3 linked regions of the Callithrix jacchus genome follow. The protein of the gene in region 1 interacts with the protein of each later gene in a pairwise test. Links are inferred from orthologs where the notes say so. Each region holds a gene or a part of one and is shown in the gene's direction. Other genes may lie near its edges. The genes, in order: NUP62, CRCT1 and XPO6.

Region 1 (4,926 bases):
TTTCGAGATGGGGTCTCACTCTGTTGTGCAGGCTGGAGTGCAGTGGTGCAGTCACGGCTCACTTGCAGCCTCCACCTCCCTGGGCTCCAATGGTCTTCCCACTTCAGCCTCCCAAGTAGCTGGGACTGCAGGTGCCCCCTTGGCCAACTTGTTTTTGTAGTTTTTGTAGAGACAGGATCATACTATGTTGGCCAGGCTGGTCTCGAATTCCTGGGCTCAAGCAATCCTGCCACCTCGGCCTGCCAAAGTGCTGGGATTACAGGTGTGAGCCACCACGCAAGCCGTATTATATCTAAACTGCGTGCATCAGTGCTGGATCAGTATGGGCTGCCATTGTGAATAGATCCCAGGCATCTGAAGTGTTGGAAACCAACGATGCACTTAATCAGTGGTGAACTGTGAAGCCAGATAAGGCCCCACAGGAGATTGTTTTTCTTGTAGTTTTCGTTTGTTTGTTTCTTGAGACAGAGTCTTGCTCTGTGGCCAGACTGGAATGCAGTGGCGCGATCTCAACTCACTGCAGCCTCAGCCTCCCGAGTAGCTGGGATTACAGGTGCCCACTACCATGCCTGGCTAATTCTTTGTATTTTAGTAGAGACGTGGTTTCACTATGTTGGCCAGGATGGTCTTGATCTTCTGACCTCGTGATCCGTGCGCCTTGGCCTCCCAAAGTGCTGAGATCAGCGTGAGCCACCACACCCCGCCCTCTTGTAGTTGTATGCGCGTGTGTGTGTGTTCTCTTGTAGTTTTTTAATAGTTGCAAAGAGCTTTTTATAAATGTTTTTCTTGGAAATTTTAGCTACGGCTTATTAATAGCAAAAGCTTTTTTAAGCTGAGTTCTTGAGAACTGAGATGGGTAGGCGTAGCTGCTCAGATGCCTTTAGCTGCTGGGAACCACACACGGGCTCAAGGTGGCTCCTCAGTGAGGACCTGTGTTCTGCCCACAGCGGGAGGACTGGGTGCGGCCAGGCAGGGCCCCAGCAGTCCTGGGGGCTCAGGCACTTGCCGTGGCCTCTTGAAGAGACCTTTCTCAGAATTCCCCAGGAGAGCTTTATGAAAATGCCAGGGCCAACATCCCAGCCCTGCAGAGACTCTTGTGTTTGAAACGCTGCCAGGCGGTGCTCATGGACACCCACTGAGATCCACTGACTTGGACACGGCAGAGCCCCATGCGGCTGGCCCCCCGGTCGTCTCCCCAGACTTGCTTGGCTGTGTGGAGGAGGAGGGGCAGATGAAACAAAAATGAGGGCCTTGAGGAAGGCAGAATGGTACAGTGGAATGGGTGGGGGTAGTGAGGCAGGTTTCCTCTGATTCAAGCTAGAAGGGGATTTCCTGAGGGCAGACACCAAGAAACTTGAAAACTGGCCTGGAGAGAGGGAAGAGGAAACAGACCTCGTGGGTGTTTCTCTGGGCCAGGCACTTGGCTTCTCAGTCGTGACTTTGTTCATTCTTTTTTTTGAGACAGGGTCTCGCTCTCTCCATTCCCAGCTTCTCGAGCTGCTTATGCCTTCCCTGGTTCCTGGCCTTCGCCATCTTCAGATTCGAAAGCGCACCACTCCGGTCTGCTTTCGGCACCAAGCTTTCCTGTCTGCCCGAGTCAGTCACATCCACCCGGGCTCTGTCTTCTAGGGACACTTCTGATCATCTTCAGGGCTCACACCTATAGTCCTAGCACTTTGGGAGGCCAAGGAGGAAGGATTGCTTGAGCCCAGGAGTTCAAGACCAGGGCAGCAGAGATCCGGTTTCTACAAAATAAAAAAAGATTAGCTGAGCATGGTGGCTTGCACCTGTAATCCCAGCTACTCTGGGAGGCTGAGGTGGGAGAATCACTTGGGCCTAGGAGGTCAAGGCTGCAGTGAGCTGTGATTGTGTCAGTGCATTACAGCTGGTATGACAGAGCAAAACCTTTTCCCAAAAGAAAAAAAGAAAATCACCGCTGTCCAGCACTCCCTCACCTCTTCCTCTCCAGGTGACCTTTGAGCTTCCCGCTGATGGATGGCGCCACTGGAGCTTTTTCAGTTTGACATTACCAAAATCCAGTCAGTTTGAACATGGAGATGCTCTGGCCCATGGGGCTTCTGGGGTGCTCTTTATCCCTCCCCGACCCATCTCTGGTGGGGCTCATGGTCTCCTGTGATGTCCCAGTGTCTGCAGATAGATGGTTGAGAACATATCCAGGGGAGGCTCAGGTGCAATCCTCTGTACCACACCTACAGGTGAAGGAGGCAGCTGCCTCCCCCAGGGGAGGCTCTGATTGGCTGGCTCAGGTCTCAGTTTATCCTTGAGCCAATCACTGCAGCCAAGGGCATCTGTGTTCTGATTGAGCACATGGGTTTCAGACACCCCCCCACCCCAAGTTAAGAGAGGGCGTTCCAGCGTCCTTGCCTGCTAGAGAGTGCAGGTGTGGGGGCCTTCAGCAGCCCAGGCTCTGCCATCTGGCCTGAGTTCCCAGCCCCATGTGTCTCTGTGAGGTCCGGAGAGGCCCTTAGGGAGGCATGAGCTGATCTGCTCACGCCCTGCTAGCGTCAGTGGGGGAATGTCACTGGGTCCCATGCTGAGAGCAGGTCCTACAGCTGTTCCTCTGTGTCCTAGTCCCACTGGTGGCAGTGCCTCACATTTCATCCCCTCCTCGGACCGAGGTGGGTCCAGGGTTCTGCTCTTCCGCCTCCGCCTCCACAGAGTGGGAGCTTCCACTGTGCTAAACGTGGCCATGCACATCCCTAGCACCCCGGCTCCTCATACCTGACCCCTGGCGCGTGCGCTGGTGCTTTCGGATCCTCCTCGGTTTAGCAGGGCCTGGTTTAGGTTACACAGGAAGAAGAGGGGTTGCGTGCCACTGAGTTTGCCTTTCCAAAACTGCCATCTGACAATGTCGCTTCCTCTGCTTTACAAATCTTCCCAAGGTTGCAGACACCGACGGATTTGCTTTCGGAGCTGGAGTAGCTGCCGCCATCAGAGTCTGGAGCCATGAGCGGGTTTAATTTTGGAGGCACTGGGGCCCCTACAGGCGGGTTCACGTTTGGCACTGCGAAGACGGCAACCACCACACCTGCCACAGGGTTTTCTTTCTCCACCTCTGGCACCGGAGGGTTTAATTTTGGGGCTCCCTCCCAAGCAGCCGCAAGTACCCCTTCCACCAGCCTTTTCTCACTTGCCACGCAGACTCCGGCCACACAGACGCCGGGCTTTAGTTTTGGAACAGCAACTCCTGCTTCCGGGGGAACTGGGTTTTCTTTGGGGACCGGTGCTTCAAAGCTAAACCTGAGCAATGCAGCTGCCACCCCAGCCATGGCAAACCCCAGCGGCTTTGGGCTGGGCAGCAGCAGCCTCACTAATGCCATGCCGAGCACCGCCACCTCCAGCCAGGGCACAGCACCCACTGGCTTTGTGTTTGGCCCCCCCACCACCTCAGTGGCTCCAGCCACCACATCGGGAGGGTTCTTGTTCACTGGTGGAAGCACGGCCCAAACCTCTGGTTTCAACATTGGCTCAGCGGGGAATTCAGCCCAGCCCACGGCACCTGCCGGGTTGTCCTTCACTCCGGCCACGCCAGCAGCCACCACAGCAGGCGCCACTCAGCCAGCTGCGCCCACACCAATGGCCACCACCACCAGTGCTGGGCCCACCCTCTTTGCCTCAATAGCAACCGCTCCAACCTCGTCCGCCACCACCGGCCTCTCCCTCTGTACCCCTGCAACCACAGCAGGAGCCCCTGCCACTGGGACACTGGGCTTCAGCTTAAAAGCACCCGGAGCAACTTCCGGCACCTCCACAACAACATCCACTGCTGCCATCACCACCACCAGTAGCACCAGCAGCAGCAGCAGCACCGGCAGCACCAGCTTTGCCTTGAATTTAAAACCACTGGCGCCAGCCGGGATCCCCAGCAATACGGCAGCCGCCGTGACTGCTCCACCTGGCCCTGGTGCAGCCGCAGGGGTGGCCGCCACCTCCGCCATGACCTACGCACAGCTAGAGAGCCTGATCAACAAATGGAGCCTGGAGCTGGAGGACCAAGAGCGGCACTTCCTCCAGCAGGCCACCCAGGTCAACGCCTGGGACCGCACACTGATCGAGAACGGGGAGAAGATCACCACCCTGCACCGAGAAGTGGAGAAGGTGAAGCTGGACCAGAAGAGGCTGGACCAGGAGCTCGACTTCATCCTGTCCCAGCAGAAGGAGCTGGAAGACCTGCTGAGCCCACTGGAGGAGCTGGTCAAGGAGCAGAGCGGGACCATCTACCTGCAGCACGCGGATGAGGAGCGCGAGAAGACCTACAAGCTGGCCGAGAACATCGATGCGCAGCTGAAGCGCATGGCCCAGGACCTCAAGGACATCATCGAGCACCTGAACACGTCCGGGGCCCCCGCCGACACCAGCGACCCGCTGCAGCAGATCTGCAAGATCCTCAACGCACACATGGACTCGCTGCAGTGGATCGACCAGAACTCCGCCCTGCTGCAGAGGAAGGTGGAGGAGGTGACCAAGGTGTGCGAGGGCCGGCGCAAGGAGCAGGAGCGCAGCTTCCGCATCACCTTTGACTGAGCCACCGCGGGTCCCCAGGGAGTCCCACGGGGGGGTGTGCCCTGTGGTCTGGTGTGGGGTTACAGCAGCATACTTGTTTCTTGCTTTCCTTCGCGTGACTGTGCCCTGGAGACAGCTGCTCTGTGCTTTGACTTTCCCCATTTAGGGAGTGTTCTGAGCCCTCTGCCCGGGCAGCAGCCTCATGGGTGTGGCTTCTGTGGCTTTCATTTCAGTGGCTTTGGCCCCTTTTTACCCACAGCAAACACCCATCTCATCCTGCCTCAGTCAGATGCTGGAGAAGGGCTGACAGTCTTGGTCCCAGCCAGGGTCGGGTGGGCAACTGCTCCATCCAAAGCATAGTCACAGGTGCCGTGAAAAACACCAAGCGTAAGAGAACCTCCG
Region 2 (5,715 bases), on another chromosome or scaffold:
TGTGTTTGTATTTGTGTGTGTGTGGCTGGCGTGTGTGTTTGTGTGTATTTGTGTGTTAGTGTGTATTTGTGTGTGTTTGTATTTGTGTGTGTGTGTGTGGCTGGTGTGTGTGTGTATTTGTGTGTTTGTGTGTGTTTGTGTGCGTGTTTGGGTGTGTGGTTGATGTGTTTGTGTGTTTTGTGTGTGGTTGGTGTGTGTGTGTGTGGCTGGCGTGTGTGTGTGTGTGGCTGGTGTGTGTGTTTGTGTGTATTTGTGTGTTAGTGTGTATTTGTGTGTGTATGTTTGTATTTGTGTGTGTGTGTGGCTGGTGTGTGTGTGTATTTGTGTGTGTTTATGTGCATGTGTTGGGGTGTGTGGTTGATGTTTGTGTGTTTGTGTGTGTGGTTGGTGTGTGTGTTTGTATTTGTGTGTTTGTGTGCGTGTGTTGGGGTGTGGTTGGTGTGTGTGTTTGTGTGTATTTGTGTGTGTGTTTGTATTTGTGTGTGTGTGTTTGTGTGTGTGTGTTTGGGTGTGTGGTTGATGTGTTTGTGTGTGGGTGTGTGTGCATAGTGAGAGGTGGTAAGAGTATGGGGTTTTGTCACTGTGTTGGGTTTTCCAAGTAACATTTCTTTAGGAATGGGCTGGTTCCTTCAGGATATACTCACACTAGAAAAGTTAATTCCAAATTAGCCTTTTATATACAAGATAAACAATGGATGCCTCCTTTGATAAGAGTTAACAACGATACATAAAGTACATTAGTTTATGAGATCATAGCATGTCCACAGAATGAGCAGGCACTTTCCCAGATCATCATGCTGATTCCTACCAAACATTCTTCACTCTTTTTTATTTTAAAGAACTTTACCCATTTCCACCTAGGAGATCCTGCCTCTGTCTTGTCATTTCATTACTTCCCTCTCTGTTCCAATATTGACTGCACTTTTTGGAATGTCTCACCTATACTCACCAACAGGTGCCCTAGGTACTGGGAACCTGTTAATCAGGCTCTAAATCGATGTTAGATGAAACTGGTATCTTTTGTGACTTATCTTTCCTTGCTAATCCCCTCGTGCCGCTCCCTGTTCACTCACCCCTAAACCTGTCTCTCACCCTTAATTCTTGAATTCTCAGTCTTGGACTTTTGAGTATAGTTCACATTCATAGTTGTGGGCAATTGCACTGATTAAGAAGCAGTTCTGAAGTTGACTGCCAAAGTATCCTTCAATTTTTAAAAATTAGTTATTCCAAAAACACTGTATATCATGCACACTTTGGACCTTTGGAAAGAACTTTCTCTTATTTTCCTTCTTTCCCTCCCTCTTTTCTTCTTCCTTTCCCATCTTCTTTCTTTTCTTTTGCGGTGGGCAGTGCCCCTAGGGAGAACCTATCTTCAAAGGGAGGTGGGTGGTTGCGGGTGGGATAAGGAGCAGACGTCCCCCAGGCTGACTTGCCTTTTTGCAGTTGGGCCACCGTCCTGCACACATTTTTCTCTTAGTCATACTGAGCTGCATTATGGGGATATGGTAACCTGACTACACTCACAACTTTTCCAGCATTATGGTTCCTTAACTTTGCCTATGATTTCCTTCCTGTCTCCAGTGACAGAGAGAAATCACCCCTGGGCTTCCTACATATGCATCTCTGTTATCATCTTCACTCACCGCATCTTGAAGCATATGGATGAAACCCAGCAGGCTTATCACATAGCTTGTGGTCTGCCCTGGGGAGCCAAGGACCAAAAGCCAGAGAGATGAGAATCAAGATAACAGATAGGTGAACTCCCACCTACCAAGTAGATGACCACACAGGAACGGATGTGTGGGCAAGTGGAGCCGTGTGTGTGTGTGTGTGTATGTGTGTGTGTGTGTGTATGTGTGTGTGTGTGTATTGCAGACATGAGCAGAAGGGGTTCCAGACTTCCCTTCCTTTGAGCCCCCACGCCTTCTGTTAGCATTCACACAGCCTCCCAGCTATGAACAGTGCCCTATTTGGAAAGTAAACATGCCATAGCAATCCTGGCACCTCTGCGAAGTGACTTGGATACACACGTGCACCACCTACAGTGCTACCTGAGTGATGAATGTCTCTGGGATGTGAGCGTCAGCTGAGCATGTCTGTTGGGAAATGGGCCCCTCCCAAGGGCCCCAACCTGACCCTCTTTGATATATAAAAGGTTCTGGCTGGACACTGCTCAATCCATTGCCTAGCAGGTGGCTCATTCCAGTTGGAGAACATAGAGAGTCTTCCAGCGGAGCCAAGGTCTGGTAAGTCTCCTAGCAGGGTCTTGGGGAGAGGATGGGAGGAGTTGAGGGCACAGGGGAGGAGAAAACAGAACAAAGGCAGCAGATAGATGTGGAATGGGAGCGCTGCAAGGCACCTCAGCTTCAAGTGATCCAACCTTTCAAGGCACTAATAAGGACATAAAGGCAATACAGGAGGCGGCTTTTGCAAGGGTACACAGCAAGTCCCTAGAAGAGCTGTGACTAGAACCCGGGTCTTCTGGCTCCCTGGACGGGTTTCTTTCTTTCCTTTTCTTTGAGACGGAGTTTTGCTCTTGTTACCCAGGCAATGGTGCGATCTCGGCTCACCGCAACCTCCGCCTCCCGGGTTCAGGCAATTCTCCTGCCTCAGCCTCCTGAGTATCTGGGATTATAGGCATGCACCACCATGCCCGGCTAATTTTTTGTATTTTTAGTAGAGACGGGGTTTCACCACGTTGACCAGGATGGTCTCGATCTCTTGACCTCGTGATCCACCCGCCTCGGCCTCCCAAAGTGCTGGGATTACAGGCTTGAGCCACCGTGGACGGGTTTATTTCTATTAGCACAACTCTTCTTTTCCCATGTGTTTGTGGGGCATGAGACGCATAGGCAAGAGAGGATGAGCAGGACATGCTTCTGGCCGGTGGATTATTTAGAACCAGCAGGTAGGGACGCGTGTGGTACTTGGGTGTTTTCTAAGTGATGGGGTGTTTATACAATGCTAGCAACTAGGAAATATCATCGAAGGTCGGTAGCAAAGTAAAATGAGAGACGAAAAAAGCCAGGTGGAGATTCTGGACTGGATCACACAGATAGGTTGCGGTACTATGCTATTTTCCACCGCGGGGAACTTGAGCGGTCCTCTTCTAGTCAGAGAAAATGGAAAAGTATCGATTATTTGCATAGACTGTGTCCTGCTCTGAGCATGTTTAACTCCTTGGAAGCACCTGCTTGGATTTGTATTTTTAAATACGCTCTTTCTGGGTGCTTCCCCCACTCCTTGCCCCAGGCCAGGCTGACTTTCACACTAAACCGAATCTCAAAAGACCAGACAGAGATCCACTGGCGGAAAGAAAAGCCGGCTCGCCTTTGAAAGGCTGTCTTTCTTCCAGGTTCGTCGTGAGGAGCTCCGCGATGTCTTCTCAGCAGAGCGCCGCTTCCGCCAAAGGCTTTTCCAAGGGGTCGTCCCAGGGCCCGGCTCCGTGCCAGGCCCCGGCGCCCACCCCGGCGCCCGCCTCCTCCTCCTCCTGCTGCGGGGGCGGCTGCTGCGGCTCGGACGGGGGCTGCTGCGGCTCCGACGGGGGCTGCTGTGGCTCCAGCTCCACCAGCTGCTGCTGCTTCCCAAGGAGGCGCCGCCGGCAGCGGGGTCGCGGCTGCTGCTGCTGCGGGGGCGGCAGCCAGAGGTCCCAGCGCTCCAACAACCAGGGCTCTGGCTGCTGCTCCGGCTGCTGAGGGGCCCGCAGCACCCGGCGCTGCGCTAGACAAACCCGCCCAGCCCTGAGCGGGCCCGCCCCGCCGTGGCTCCCACGCGGGGCTGGGCCTCGGAGTTTGCCCCGTAAAGCGAATTGCACTTTGATGTTCGGAAATCCACTCTGTTCTCAGCCACGGAAGACTCCCTGACCCTCATGTGATTTTTCTCCCTGGGGATTCGAGAGCCGTGGGTGGGACATTGGACCCTACTGTCTGCACGGGTTTGCATACAGCAGGTGCTCGGTAAATGTCTACTGGTTCCATTGTCCTCTGAAGATGTCATAATAAAGCTTCTACCTCCTGAGAACGCCTTGTCTTATTTGTTCTTCATTCGTTTTTCCCCGCAGTTTGAAAGGCTTGAAATGTTTGTGAAAGGCAGAAAACTATAATACATGCCGGAATGAAAAGGTGGCTTTCTGATCATTACAGTAGCAGCGATTACATATTGACTGTTTCGAGTATTTTTTTTTTTTTCTTTTTTTTTTTTTGAGACGGAGTTTCACTCTCGTTACCCAGGCTGGAGTGCAATGGCGCAATCTCGGCTCACCGCAACCTCCGCCTCCTGGGTTCAGGCAATTCCCCTGCCTCAGCCTCCCAAGTAGCTGGGATTACAGGCACGCGCCACCATGCCCAGCTAATTTTTTGTATTTTTAGTAGAGACGGGGTCTCACCATGTTGACCAGGATGGTCTCGATCTCCTGACCTCGTGATCCACCCACCTTGGCCTCCCAAAGTGCTGGGATTACAGGCGTGAGCCACTGTTTCGAGTATTTTAAGGACTTTATGTGCCACCATATGATTCTCATAATGACTTGCTAGTAAAATGCTGTTATACCCATTTTACAGAAGAGAAACTGAGGTTAAGCAACTTGCTCAAAATCACCCAGCCAGTATAAGATGAATACAGGACATCTGATTCCAGGGCTTCATTGCTCTGCTTCGTCCTTACCAGGGCTCGTTGCTCTGCTTCGTCCTTACCAGGGCTTCCCAAGCCTTACCACTGAAGCGCTTGTCCTCCTGACCATCAGGTCCAGGCAGCGGTGTGGCAAAAGTTTGTTTTGGCAACTCTTGGGGGCTTTGGAATCAAGCCAACTGTCTTTTTTTTTTTTTTTTTTTTTTCTGCCATGAAAGATTATTGACCCACTGCTTTGCTTGCTGGGGAGAAACTGTTTCCTAAGATGAGCCTTCCAGGAAACTGGAAGCTGCCCTCTCCAGGTCTCACTTGTGCAGCCGAAGCATGACCAAGAGCCATGGGTTTCTGGGAATCTCTGTGATGCAACATGTGTGCTCGGAAACGTGGAGCTTTCATTCTCTAGAGATGGTGGCTGTGGCAGTGGCAGCCGCAGTGGAGGGGTCATCTTGCCTAGGTCAGAAACCTGTCCCTGTGGACACAGATGTTATCCACTCATTTCCGGCATGAGGAAACAGGAGACCAACATCCTCTGCATGATGTCTGCTGCGTTTGGAAGGAAGAGATAATAATGGTGATAATGAGAGTAACAGTAGTTACCACTTATTTGGCGCTAACTTTATCTCAGGCACAAGGCAAGACATTTTACATATATTATCTCACTTCATCTTCTCAGTAATCTAAAAATATAGACATTCACTTCACCACTTTTTATATGTGAGGAAATGGGTTTAGACAGTTCCAATGATTTGGCTGGAATCACAGAGGTAGTGAATGTCCAAAGCACCCAGATGGTGAGTGAGGCAGAAGAGACTCAAACCGGAATGTGTGTCTCCAAAATCATGCCCTCACACTCAAAGAGTCATGCTCTGCTGTCTTAGAAATCACCACCACCCAGGGAAGGGGCACTTGAGCCTCTGGACACACCCAGGTTCTCAGAAAATTGCAGCTCAGCTTCTTGGGTGCTGCTCCCTTGGTGACCCCATGAGTGGAGAGCTCTGTCATGGCATCCACCCGGCAGCTGGTGGCTGAGGGTGTCTGCTCAAAGGTGAGGTCGAAAATGCTCTACTGATTCATCCAGGATGTTTGAAG
Region 3 (5,859 bases), on another chromosome or scaffold:
TAATAAACTGAGCCAAGAAAGTGACTTGGCTTCCGTTCTGATTCATCTGCTTACCTACTGAGATGGCTTCTCTTGTACATGCTGTTTCTACTGCCTAGAATGTTCTATGCCCCCTCCCTTTGCATAGCGAACTCCTTCTTCTTTCAGGTCAAAGCTTAAATAAATGTCACTTCCTGACTTCCTCCCCATCCTAATCTGACAGATTATTTTAGATCCCGTGGCCTTATTAGTGTATAAACTATATTAAAGTTATAATAGATTGAATTTTTCCTTCATGTTATCACAATGATAGCTGATCTATTACTGTAATTTGTCTCTAAATTCCATGAGGGCACACATATATTTGTTTTGCTCAGCATTGAATCCTTGAAAGAGTGATTGTCACTTAGTGGGCAACAATAAAGATTTGATAAAATAAATGTGCTTGAGGCCGGGCACCATGGCTTATGCCTGTAATCCCAGCACTTTGGGAGGCTGAGGTGGGCACATCCCCCGGGATCAGGAGTTCGAGACTAGTCTGGCTAACATATGGTATCTAGACCTACAGCATCAGCTTCATTTAGGAGCTTGTTAGAAATGTAAATTATTCAGCCACATCTCAGACCTACTGGATGGGAAAGTTTATGAGTGGAGTGAGTAATCTTTGTTTTAACAGTCCTGGGTGTATTGATTCAGATCACACTGAGGTTTGAGAGAAAAGAAAAATAGCTCAGGGCAGTCTGAGTTATGTGAAGTATGTAAAATTTCTCAGGTCCACTGAGATTTGTGTATAGGAGTTTGGGCACACTCCCACCTCCACATGCCTGGGGACAATTGTTTAAAGATATTTTGTTTCAGACTAGCTGCCTCCCCCATTTCCTTTGGGTTCCTGAAATTTGTGATACAAAGAACAGTGTATAGACAATAGCTTATGTTATTTTTTTTTCCACTTTCTCACCATTCCTATTCAACCTTATATTATGCCTCTTCTTTTTTCCTTAAAAACCCACTTGAGAAGCTTTGGGCAATGGCAGTATCGTAGCCAATGAGGTTTATACAAGGCGCGATTATTGCTAATTGAAAACTTTTCCCAATACCCTGCCATGACGACTTGAAAATATAGTCGGCATTGGCAATTTGTGACAGTCTCTACGGAGACTGAATTTAAAAAAACAAAACAAAAAACCCACTTGAGGACAGGCACGGTGCCTCACGCCTATAATCCCAGCACTTTGGGAGGCTGAGGCTGGCAGATCACCTGAGGTCAGAAGTTCAAGACCAGACTGGCCAATATGGTAAAACCCCATCTCTACAAAAATACAAAAATTAGCCTGGCATGATGGTGGGTGCCTGTAGTCAAGCTACTCACGAGGCTGAGGCTGGAGAATTGCTTGAACCGGGAGGTGAAGGTCGCAGTGAGCCGAGATTGGATCATTGCACTTCAGCCTGGGAGACAGAGCAAGACTCTGTCTCAAAAAAAAAAACAAAAACAAAAACGAAAACAGAAAAACACCACACTCTAGCCTTGGCGACAGAGCAAGATCCTGTCTTAAAAACAAACAAACAAACAAGCAAACAAAAAAACCATTTGTAGCTGCTGCTAATTGGAGCATATATTCAGGGCAACTTGAATCTATGCTTCTGGTTGGCCATTCTCAAGCTTTGGGTTTGAATAAACCCTATACTTAATCCTATTTTCTCAATCTCGTTATTTAAGGTTGACAAGAGCCATAGAGTTATATAGATTTGCTCCAATCTAGGTAGTACACACACCTGCGGGCTCAGTCTCAGCTGTTCGGGATAGTTTCCTGACTCTCTGTTTCTTAAAAGTAGCACTTTCAGCCTGGCTGGATGACTCACAGCTGTAATCCCAGCACTTTGGAGGCTGAGGAGGGAAAACTGCTTGAGCCCTGGAGTCTCAGACCAACCCGGGCATCATAGGGAGACCTCATCTCTGCAAAAAATAAAAATATTTAGCTGGGCATGGTGGTGCACCAGGAGGTTGGGGCTGCAATGAGCCACGACTGCGCTACTGCACTCCAGCCTGGGCAACACAGCAAGACCCTGTCCCTAAAAATAAAATAAAGATGAGCACTTTCACGAGTAAAGTGGGTTGGAGGCTAGGAACAGGAATTTAACACGTTCTCTGCCCCCTCAGCACTTTGACTATAGAAGTTTTGTTTATCTTTCTCGACCTAGCACCCACAGCGGCGCCTGGAATATAGCCGGGCTAACATAGTCCACTATATTCCAGTGGACTGCATGAATGTAAGCTCATGAGGCCGTGTGCCGCCACCCAGCCAGCGCAACGCTCCGCACGTAAAAGACACTCAGTAAAGCTTTGTGGAATGAATGGAGCGAAGGAAGTGAAAGAGAAACTGCGCCTTTACTAAAATGGCAGCCCGGGCTCCCTTTACCAAGATGGCTGCTAGCCCGCGTGGACAGACGGGCTGTGGGCCCAGAGGGCGTGGCTAGAGAAGGCGTTGCCAGAGGGGGCGTTGCCAGAGGGCGGGGCCAGTGGGAGCCGTCAGGTGTCGCCCCGCCCTCCGCCTGCTCCCCCTGCTCGCCCCGCTCGATTCCGGATTGGTCCGGTTCCAGCGCCGCAGCCCGGCGGCCGCGCTGTGAGGCCGCCTGGCGCTCGCCACTTCCGGCGCGTTGGGGCTGTTGGTCGGGGGCGGCCGCGCGGTACTAGCGGACGGCTCCGGGGCGGGCGCGAGCAGGGATGCTCTCGGGGGCGGCGGCAGTGGCCGTGTGGGCTGAGACGGCGAGGACAGCGCGGGCCCCCAGGCCTCTCCCCTGAGCCGGCCGCCTGGGCCGCGCAGCCGAGGCCCCGTCAGCCTCCGCCCCTTCACCCTCGGGGCCGGGCCCGCCGCCACCTCTGCCCGCGGAGGCAGGGGAGCCCCTGCCTGGGCCCGCAGCCTCCCCCGCGGGGGTCGGGCCCGGGCGGGGGTCCCGAGCCGCTGCCCTCCTCGCCGGCATCCGAGCCCCATTTCCTGCTTTTTCAGTTTCATTGGGGAGGGGCGGGTGGGTCTGGATGAATTGTCTCCGGGGCCCCCGATGAGGAGACCCGGGTGGCCCTGCCCTTTTTAGAGGGTCCCCACGGGGCCCGGTGGAGAAGGGGTTGTCTTTGCACGGGCGGGGGACTTCCCGAGTCTGCCGGGACCATGACCTGAACTGTGCGAGCGGGACGTGTCCGAAGCCCAAGAACCAGCTCATCTGAGCCGCCCCCTCCCCGGCCAGCATGGTAAGTGGGATCGGAGCCCTTCCCTCCTGGGGTGCCCTGCCGGAGGGGTGGGAATGGGCCCCGGGGCTGCTGAGCCATCGCTTTTCTCCCTATGGCGGGGAGAGGCGCGTGCCGAGCCTGGCCGGTGACACATGCGTGCAGAGTGTGCAGCCCCGGCCCTGCACTCCCATCCCCCCAGGGGTGATGGCTCAGGCCTGGGAGGGCCCTGGGAGCACAGCAGGCACAACCCTTGCATCTGGTGTTTGCCTCCTGCAGCTCCTCCGGCAGTATAACTACCGTTTATTGAGGGTTTACTACTTGCCAAGGCCCTGCCCGAAGTGATTGACGTGCAGTAGTATTTGATGATCACACCAACCCTCTGTTCGGAAGTGGGGAGACTGAGGCACGGAGTAATTAATTCCCCCGCTCAAGGTCAAGCAACTTTTAAGTAACGGAGTTAAGATTTGAACCTGGGCATTTCTAATACATTTAGAGAGCTGGGTGATTGTAGGAGAAGCATCTCACCTAGCTGTAGCTTTATATAGGGGGAAACAGAGAGAGGGATTTACAGAGGTCCCTTGCACAGGTGATGGCGAAGTCAGGAATGGTCGTGATCTTTTGACACCGAGGCTGCTGTTCTACATACTCTGACCTCTGCTGAAGATACCTTTCCTGTTTTCTAGACCCATAGATACCTTCAATACTCCCCTAAATGTGTGTACCCACATCTTTGTTAAGCATTTGTCTTTTTGTTCTTGTAATTATTTCTGAGCCTTATCTGTCTATTGCGGTAGACACAGCTCCATCAAAGACCAAATTGTTTGAACCCTTATCTGCCCCAGCTCTTGGCACATAGTAAGCCCTCGGTGAGTACTGGATCACCTCCAGGGGTGGAGCTGTTCTCCTCAGTGTCACCCATTTTACCCCAAGTTAGTGCTGTAATAGAGAAAGGGACCTAGCTACATCTTTTGTGATACAGACCTTAGGACCTGTGGGATTTTCAAAACATTCAAGGGGCTTGTGGTTAGTGTGTAAGTCATGAGGTTTTTTACAGCCAGCTGGATAAAGCACACTGTGAATGCTGAGCAGCACTGTGCAGTAAGTATATGCTATTTGTATAGTGTATATATTTTATTTATTTATTTATTTTGAGACAGGGTCTTGCTTTGTTTCCTAGGCTGGAGTGCAGTGGCATGTTCATGGCTCACTGCAGCCTCAACCTCCTGGGCTCAAGCAGTCCTCTCACCTTAGCCTCCCAAGTAGCTGGGACTACAGGTGCGTGCCACCATGCCTGGCCAATTTTTTGTGGAGATGAGGTCTCACCATATTTCCCAGGCTGGTCTTGAACTCCTGAACTGAAGTGATCCCCCTCACCCCCAGTCTCCCAAAGTGCTGGGATTACAGGTGTGAGCTACCATGCACAACTGAGTCTATATATTTTAACATACATATGTACACAGTATGTATTGTGGCAGATCAGGTAAGCTCTTAGTTCCAATTTCCTCAACTATGAAATTTGGGGATAGAAATTGAAGAATAATCTAGAGGTATGAGGTAGAACATTTAGTGGCTGATGAAAGTAGCACTTATTCCTTCCTTCATTTATTCTTTCAGCATCTTTTTTTTTTTTTTTTTGAGATGGAGCTCTTTTCATCCAGGCTGGAGTGCAGTGGTGCGAGCTCCGCTCACTGCAACCTCCGCCTCCCATGTTCAAGCAATTTTCCTGGCTTAGCCTCCCGAGTAGCTGGGACTACAGCCGCGTGCCACCACACACAGCTAATTTTTGTATTTTTTAGTAGAGATGGGGTTTTGCCATGTTGGCCAGGCTGGTCTCGAACTCCTGACCTCAGGTGATCCATCTGCCTTGACCTCCCAAAGTATGAGGATTCCAGGCCTGAGTCACCATGCCCAGCGTTTTTTTTTTTTTTTGAGACGGAGTTTTGTTCTTGTCACCCAGGCTGGAGTGCAGTGGTGTAATCTCAGCTCACTGCAACCTCCGCCTCTTTGGTTTAAGTGATTCTTCTGCTTCAGCCTCTGGAGTAGCTGGGATGGCAGGCTTGTGCCACCATGCCCAGCTAATTTTTGTTTTTAGTAGAGACAGCGTTTCACCATGTTGGTTAGGCTGATCTCGAACTCCTGACCTCTGATGATCTACTTACCTTGGCCTTCCAAAGTATTGGGATTGCAGGTGTGAGCCACCATGCCTGGCCTCAATATTCTTTAAAATTTTATTTAATTATTTTATTTTTTGGGGGGCTTTCTGGCCCAAATCAGAAATTCAAAAGAGACAAATTCTAAAAGAGCTGTAACACTTACTTTGTTTTTTTAATTGTAAAATATACATAATAAAAATTTGCCAGTTTAACTATTTTTAAGTGTACTGTTCAGTGACATTAAGAGCATTCACACTGTTGTGCAGTCATCACCACCATCCATCTCGGAAGATTTTTCCCAAATCAACCTGTACCCCTCATTTCTCAGTCTCTCCCCCACCCCACTTTACTTTCTATTCCTATGAATTTGACTACTTTAGGTCACTCATAGAAGTGGAATCAGGCAGTGTCTGACCTGTTGTGACTGGCTTATTTCACATGGCGCGGTGTTCTCTGGGTTCATCCGTGTCATGGCATGTGTCAGAGCTTCCTTCCTTTTGAAGG

What was found.
Region 2: the proteins of NUP62 (region 1) and CRCT1 interact in binary tests that used the Homo sapiens proteins (3 or more experiments, as listed by UniProt). The two-hybrid records come from large-scale screens. The link is inferred for Callithrix jacchus from reciprocal best matches to the Homo sapiens genes NUP62 and CRCT1.
Region 3: the proteins of NUP62 (region 1) and XPO6 interact in binary tests that used the Homo sapiens proteins (3 or more experiments, as listed by UniProt). The link is inferred for Callithrix jacchus from reciprocal best matches to the Homo sapiens genes NUP62 and XPO6.

What each region holds. Positions count from the first base shown.
Region 1 is NC_133523.1:43,684,763-43,689,688, reverse strand, and holds part of NUP62 (nuclear pore glycoprotein p62), read left to right. Parts: intron 1-2,903; 5' UTR 2,904-2,967; coding exon 2,968-4,545; 3' UTR 4,546-4,926. UniProt on the Homo sapiens protein: Essential component of the nuclear pore complex. The N-terminal is probably involved in nucleocytoplasmic transport.
Region 2 is NC_133519.1:12,722,043-12,727,757, reverse strand, and holds CRCT1 (cysteine-rich C-terminal protein 1), read left to right. Parts: upstream 1-2,175; 5' UTR 2,176-2,246; intron 2,247-3,355; 5' UTR 3,356-3,377; coding exon 3,378-3,695; 3' UTR 3,696-4,020; downstream 4,021-5,715.
Region 3 is NC_133513.1:28,798,948-28,804,806, reverse strand, and holds the start of XPO6 (exportin-6), read left to right. Parts: upstream 1-2,564; 5' UTR 2,565-3,220; coding exon 3,221-3,223; intron 3,224-4,379; exon of another isoform or gene 4,380-4,477; intron 4,478-5,453; exon of another isoform or gene 5,454-5,516; intron 5,517-5,859. UniProt on the Homo sapiens protein: Mediates the nuclear export of actin and profilin-actin complexes in somatic cells.